Linked DNA regions of Saccharomyces cerevisiae S288C. The gene in region 1 interacts genetically with each later gene. Each region holds a gene or a part of one and is shown on either strand. Other genes may lie near its edges.

What was found.
Region 2: mutations in PSR1 (region 1) and TIR4 together harm fitness more than expected from each alone (negative genetic interaction), as found in Saccharomyces cerevisiae (2 studies listed by BioGRID).

The regions. Positions count from the first base shown.
Region 1 is NC_001144.5:128,901-132,655, forward strand, and holds PSR1 (phosphatase), read right to left. Parts: upstream 1,714-3,755; coding exon 430-1,713; downstream 1-429. Other genes in the region: rRNA-processing protein SOF1, read left to right, coding at 1-92; copper metallochaperone COX17, read right to left, coding at 2,305-2,514; DRS1 (putative ATP-dependent RNA helicase), read left to right, coding at 2,829-3,755. UniProt on the Saccharomyces cerevisiae protein: Has phosphatase activity in vitro. Involved in the response to sodium and lithium ion stress (but not to potassium or sorbitol stress) by inducing transcription of the sodium pump ENA1/PMR2.
Region 2 is NC_001147.6:342,538-346,292, reverse strand, and holds TIR4 (Tir4p), read right to left. Parts: upstream 1,959-3,755; coding exon 495-1,958; downstream 1-494. Other genes in the region: TIR2 (putative GPI-anchored mannoprotein), read left to right, coding at 1-98; YOR008C-A (uncharacterized protein), read left to right, coding at 3,212-3,436. UniProt on the Saccharomyces cerevisiae protein: Component of the cell wall. Required for anaerobic growth.

The DNA.
Region 1 (3,755 bases):
AAATCGTTGGTACCGTGCACAAATATGAAGATTCAGGAAGAGATAGGAAAAGAAGAAAGGAAGATGACAAACGTGATACTCAAGAAAAGTAGTTATTCTGTTTTATGTTGTCTGTATATACACATATGTACAATATTTGCATTTTTTTAATTTTTAATTCACATGTATTTGATAAATGTTCACGCCAGTCCCGTTAAATTAAAATTACCATTTTATTAGATTATGAATTTATATATGAATACATTGTGTCGTAATGGTAGAAGAAGTTGAAAAAAAAAATGTCAAGGGACAGCATGGGTACAGTGTGTTGAGCCAAAAAAAAAAAGAAAAAAAAAGAAAAAACTTTTTGTTCTCTGGTTCTTTTCTTCATCTTCTTCATCTTCATTCTTTGGTAGCGGGGGCCACAAGAAATTCGGGCGAAAGTGCTCATTATATTGTTACATCCAAAATTTTGCCCACATCCAGTGAGGTTTTCACAGAAAGGTCTTCTAAAAGAGGAATAATATCTAATAATTCGTTATCATGAGTATCTGAGAACCAGGACGAAATCGGTATTGCATGTTGGGGATGAAAAATATAAGATGCCGGAGAGTTATCGAGAATGATGATATCTGATAACGGCCTTCCAATCTGGGATAAGTTTTTTATATAGTTTCCTTCATAGTTATAGCAAGCCTCTCTGAATAATCTGTGATGAATGACTTTATCTGTGTCTAATATATCAAGCAAAGGATCACCGTATCGAGAGACACTAGCCGTGAAGACTACAACCTCGAATAATTTTCCGACTCTTTCCAAAAATTCTTCCACACCAGGTCTTTTAATGACATAGACATTGTGTACTTGGTCATCTATTTCCACAGACAAAACAAAATCCGCAGATCGTAAGTATTTGAAAGAAGAGTGTACCAAGGTTTCATCCAGGTCCAGTATTAGGCATTTCTTGCCCTTTGTACTTTCATCTTGTGGGGGGAGCAGAGTGTTGTAACCTGGTGCATGATACTGGCCCTGCTGCAAAAGCGTTAGATCAATATATTCTTCATCTTCATCGTCTTCGTCGTCGGCATCGTTGGAAGTTTCACTGGCTTGAGAGCTGCTACTTACCCTACTCAAATTCATATCTTGGATAAGATGGTCAGACGATACTTGTACAGTAGGCCCTCGCTGCTGCGACTGCGACTGCGACTGTGACTGTGACTGTGACTGGGGTTGTGGTTGTGGTTGTGACTGTTGTTGTTGTTGCTGCTGTTGTTTTTTCTGCCTGGAAGTATCTTTCACAGCATCTCCTTTTTCCTGTACAATGCCACGACTGCGACGGTTATCTTCATCGTCGATCTCTTCATCTTCGTCAACCTCGTATTTTTCCTCGTAAAGATCATCTTTACTAATTCGCTTCTCTACTTTTGTCATATTATTAGTAGTAGTGGCGGTGACGGCTGCAGTCGGCGACGATGGCTTCTTTTTTTCATTATCGTTCGTGCTTATCCCAGATTTACCGGTGGATCGTTCAGTGGAACTGAAAGTAGCGGCTGAATTTGTCTTAGAAGGAGGAGAGTTTGTCTGATGTACGCCACGGGTTCGGCTTTTCGTGTTGGAATGTTTAACGCTTCTGTTTTTATTGAGAGAACTGCTCTGTTGTTGGCGATAAGCAGAATTGGAATTGGATTGTGTCGTCTCGGAAGAGCAGCACAGTATTGACGATATGAAACCCATACTGTTTTGCTACTTATTGTTGTTAAAGCTTACGAACACGAATGTAGGCAAATAAAAAGCTTGGATAAACGCACAATGAAAGGGGAAGTGCGATTGATTATGCTATAAGGAATGACACGAAGAGAGCAGACTATAGGCTAGGCAGGCGATAAAGGAAGGAGTTGTACTTGACGACAACGTAATAAAGAGTTCAATGAAAGAGTATTGTGAGCAGTATGGTTCAACGAGCACTTCTTCTCGACACCTATTTCTATACTTTTTCACTTAATATACACTAACTAATCCCAGACTTTTTTTTTTTTCCGTTCTTTCCAGAAAAAAAAGAAACAAAGCAAGCGTGCCCTGACTTAGGGTTTCCTAAAAAAGTTATTAGGTTTGTGTCACGTGATACGTCCTTTTCTGGTCACGTGGTCTTAGAACACTCTTAAGGGGCCAAGCACAAGAGGACAGTGCTAGCAGTAGAAGTGGTGTAGTAGTGATGAGGTAATGTTAATTGTGCATCGCACATATTTACAGGTAGTATATACTATAGTTTGTGAATACCTATTCTTATATATACAAGAAATGGTTGTCGGCAGACTGTCAGTAAGACTAATTTGCACTTGGAACTTCGAAGCCATAACCCTTCATGCACTCTTTGTACTTTTCAATGAATTCCTTGCATTTTTCAGAGTCTTGTCCATTGAATAAGATGCATGTATCCCGCTCCTCCTTTTCTGGCTTACAAACGCAACATGGCTTAGGTTTGTCCTCGCACTCCGCGTGGTTTTCTTGTTCTTGTTTCTTGTCAGTTTCAGTCATTGGGTATAATTGATTGTGTAGTTATCTGATTGTGTACACTAAAATTTTGTTTAGTTGTACTAGAGACAAGTAGTTAGGTGGTTACTAGATTCTGATTCGCCGCTATATATCGTCATTTTATCTTTTTTTGAAGGAGATAGGTAGGGTTATAACATTATCCGGGTAATGATTTGAAAAAAAATTTTCAAAAAATGCGATGAGATGAGGTTGAAAATTGTAAGTTAGAATATGCTTAGATAGTATGAGTATTTACGTTGGTAACTTGGGTTTCGAATTGGAGCTGTGTGCCTACAACAGCGTCTTATATATATACTATGGTGGTAGGAACTAAAAAATACTCTAATTTGGACTTTGTCCCTACAATCAGTGACAGTGAAGACGATGTTCCAATTCTAGATTCTTCTGATGACGAAAAAGTCGAGGCTAAGAAGACTACGAAGAAGCGGAAGGGTAAGAATAACAAGAAAAAGGTTAGTGAGGGGGATAACCTCGATGAGGATGTTCATGAGGACTTGGACGCGGGGTTTAAGTTTGATTTGGACGCCGATGATACCACTTCGAACTTCCAAGGCTGGAACTTTCTAGCAGAGGGCGAGTCCAATAAGGACGATGCCGAAGCTTTTGTGAAGAAGGACGTTGACTTGGATAAGATTATTAGAAGAAAAGGTGGGCTGGTGAAAATGGCCCATATTGATAGTAAACAAGAAGAAGAAACCGAGAAAGAAAAAGTAGAAAAAGAAAACGATAGCGACGATGAGGAATTAGCAATGGACGGGTTCGGTATGGGAGCTCCCATGAACAATGGAGACGAAAATCAGTCAGAAGAAGAAGAAGAAGAGGAGGAAAAGGAAGAGGAAGAGGAGGAAGAGGAGGAACAAGAAGAGATGACGTTAGAAAAAGGCGGCAAAGATGACGAAATAGATGAAGAAGACGATTCTGAAGAGGCAAAAGCCGATTTCTATGCGCCTGAAACTGAGGGAGATGAAGCTAAAAAGCAAATGTACGAAAATTTCAACAGTTTGTCTTTATCTCGTCCGGTTCTTAAGGGCCTTGCAAGTTTGGGTTACGTCAAGCCTTCCCCTATTCAAAGCGCCACAATCCCCATTGCCTTATTGGGTAAAGACATCATTGCCGGTGCTGTGACTGGTTCCGGTAAGACTGCTGCGTTTATGATTCCCATAATCGAGCGTTTGTTGTATAAACCAGCCAAAATCGCTTCCACCAGAGTTATTGTTCTATTG
Region 2 (3,755 bases), on another chromosome or scaffold:
CCACTAGCACTGTTTCCGAACAAACTGAAAACGGTGCTGCCAAGGCTGTCATCGGTATGGGTGCTGGTGTCATGGCCGCTGCCGCCATGTTATTATAATCTCATTTTTAAATGGAATTTTTAATGTTCGTATATACCAATTTATCTATTGAATAGTTTTTTTTAAATTTTACTGTTTCTTTTAAACCTCGAATTATTGTGAGAACTGATTTCATCAACTGGAGGCTGTAGTGTACGTTTTGAAAACGGAAATGATTTACCGTTTTCTTTTATGATGATGCTAGGATAGGCACCTTCAAACATGCATGTCTTCCTGCCCACATTCTGAAAATATTTAACGATGGATGAAAGAAATCAACAATAGAAAAGGCCAGTTGTCAGTTTTTATATAATACAGAGAAGTACATATGACAGTTTAAAAGTTAAGCATTAACTGGTAAGTTGAAATAATAATATAATCATAAGCGGAACGAACATTTTCGACACGTACTAAAATCATAGTAGCATGGCGGCAACAGCAGCTAAAGCACCGGCACCCATACCGATAACAGCCTTGGCAGCACCGTTTTCGGTTTGTTCAACGATACCGGTAGTTTTAGATTGAACGCTAACAACGGTAGCAGACTTCTTAGCTTGACAGGCGGAGTCACATACGGTAACTGTAGTCTTTAGTGTAGAGAAGTCAGTTGCAGTAGAGGTACCTTCTTTGCATGTACTGCAGATAGTAGCGGTTGAAACCTTAGTAGAATTGTTGTAACCGGTGGTGGAAGCTGGAACGGCAGATGTTGAAGAGTAGTCACAGACAGTGGTTTCTTTGGTGACAAGAGTGTTGTCAGTTTCAGTAACAGTGGTACCGTTTCTGGTTGAGATAATAACGCTGGAAGCAGAACTAGCTGGGGTGGTGGTGGTTGTGGAGTTGTAAGGAGCAATGGTCGAGATAGAAGTCTGGGCAGTGGAAGAAGAGCTAGCAATGGTTGAGTTGTAAGGAGCAACGCTTGAGCTAGCAGGTCCGGCCGAAGATGAAACAACTGAGGAAACTGGAGAGGAACTGACAGCTTCAGAAGAGGAAACGGCTGAGGAAGAACTGACAGAGGAAGAGCTAACAGACTCGGTCGAAGAGGAAACAGCGGAGGAAGATGTGACAGCAGAAGAACTAGTAGCTTCGCTTGTAGAAGAAGCAACGGAAGAGCTGACAACTTCACTTGAGGATGGCGCAACAGAGGAGCTGGCAACTTCACTTGAGGATGAAGCAACGGAAGAGCTGACAACTTCACTTGAGGATGGTGCAACGGAAGAGCTGACAACTTCACTTGAGGATGGCGCAACAGAGGAGCTGGCAACTTCACTTGAGGATGAAGCAACGGAAGAGCTGACAACTTCACTTGAGGATGGCGCAACAGAGGAGCTGGCAACTTCACTTGAGGATGAAGCAACGGAAGAGCTGACAACTTCACTTGAGGATGGTGCAACGGAAGAGCTGACAACTTCACTTGAGGATGGTGCAACGGAAGAGCTGACAACTTCACTTGAGGATGGTGCAACAGAAGAGCTAGTGGATGAAGCAATAGAAGAGCTAGCAACTTCACTTGAAGATGTGGCAGCAGAACTTGAGGTAGTTAGAGAAGCATCCATTGCTTCTAATTCTGGAAGCAGTCTAGAAGAGTACCATGGGACCATAGTCAACATATGCTCAACAGCAGAAAAGTCCACTTCAGAGTACAAAGTGGTGTAGGAGTCATCACTTGGATTTGCAACCAATTGCGCAGCAATATCCATAATACCAGCTGGCATTTGGTCCAAGGAAAAACCTGAATTTGGAGTGTAGGATAGGGTGATGTAGTCGGCAATGTTGGTCTTAACATCATCTAAAACAACGTTCAATTCGTTGATTTGTGCTTGGGTTTGAGCGTAAGCAATAGCAGCAAGAGCGGCTAGTAATGTGATTTTAGAGTAAGCCATATTTTTTATGGTATTAATAAGCGAGTGAATAGGTTTTTGTTGCTGGTTTCTATCAGAACAAGAGTAGGGAACGAGATAAGTAAACGGGCTAAAAACTGATCTGTCCTAGCGATCCTTCCCTTTTTATATTCGAAAGCTTGGGATCATATCTTACTGCGTGGAAAACAAAGAATTTGCATCCTCCCTTTTGGACTATCCTACTTGTTAGAAATGCATCGTTTAGGAACCCTGTTCTATTATTTTCCGTCATTTTTTGAGAATTTCCATTCCTTCTAAAAGTGGCAGATGGGTTGTTACGAGATTTTTACTGATAATTCGCGCGCAGCGTCGCCTCTCCGCGAGTTTCAGTGTAAGCTATTGTTGAAAAGTACTTCGTTTGCCTTTTTAAGTTGCCTTTGGTTGCCATTGTTGTATCTTCAGGGTTTTCTTCGGATCACATCAGCTGTGAGAGTACGGTTAAGTTTGGAAGTCACAACTCGATTATGCCAGTTCGTAAGTGAGCACTAGATGACCTTGCTTTCCCCGTACGAGCCGGTTACGGTAGCAACTTTTGTTTTCCTTGCGCGGAGTGTATGCCTATTCTGATCTTTAAATTTCCTGAAGTGTCTGTCGTGCGCCGTAAACGAATTATTACACACACACGAATCTGGGAAACCGTGAACCCCATACATTGTCTTTTTTTTTTCACAGTCCCTTATCAGTACCGTTTGGCTAACAAAAGCATAAAATATTGTTCGTTCAGATGACCCCTTCAGTACACCGCGTTTACAGTTTCAAAGTTCCTTTTAGAATAGCACCCTGTTCGCCGGCGGATAATTTGCACGCCGTATGAAGGAAGAACATATAAAAACGCAAAATATGAGGCATAAACAATCACAATATCCTCACCTTAGAAGTTAGCCGTAGCGGTTTTCTTGCGCGTGCTTGTTTCTTTTCTTAGTTCTAAGCTTCAGCAAACCCATCCACAATCTTTCTTCAAGAACTTTATCGTGTCTACTTCATAACAACCTGCTAAACAGATTGTGAAATCGTTCCTGCTCAAGCAAGTAGTTTATGATAAATCGTCTTGTAATAGCTCGGCAAAACAACATCATATATGAAAGTGTTTCAAGTTTTTTGCCTAGTAGCAGACTGGAAATTCCACCACCTCTCTTCCAGACTTCGGTTTACATAAGAACTTAATGGTGTGTAATTTTTTTACATACTTCTGGAAGCAGATATCATCGGCCCCCAAAGTCGCCTTCTGCAAAATAATGTGGAGATCTTATCTTGTTTTTCTCTTCTTTATGACACCAAGGATACAAACATATTGTCCTGTACCGGTACTAAGGTCAATGGCAGTATTAAATATTATCTCTCCGCTTATAATTTTTGTCAGTCCTATTAAAAAGCAAGACAGTTTACACAGCAGCGCTTGTTACGCAAATTTGACGTTAGTGGAAAAGCTGCAACTTTGGCATTCTATGTCAAACGATTAGTAATATAGTTGACTACTTTCGTAGAATTCCTTCCTCAAGAAAAATTTTCTCCGCCTTTCCTCTCTGAAGATGGAAATAACGCTGCATGGGGAAGAAAATAATGTAATTTTCGAAGCGAAAGCGAGAGAAACGGAGGGGAAAAATAAAAGTGTTTGGCGTATCATAGCCTCATTTGGAAGAATTTAACGCAGTGTAGTTTTCTTGGACGATACAGTAAACTCGACCAGGCACTAACATTACAGAAAATCTCGTATTGATATTGTTATTGCTTAAAGGGTAATCAAGGTAAACAAGAAAGAAGCTCCTCGTTGTCCGTAAA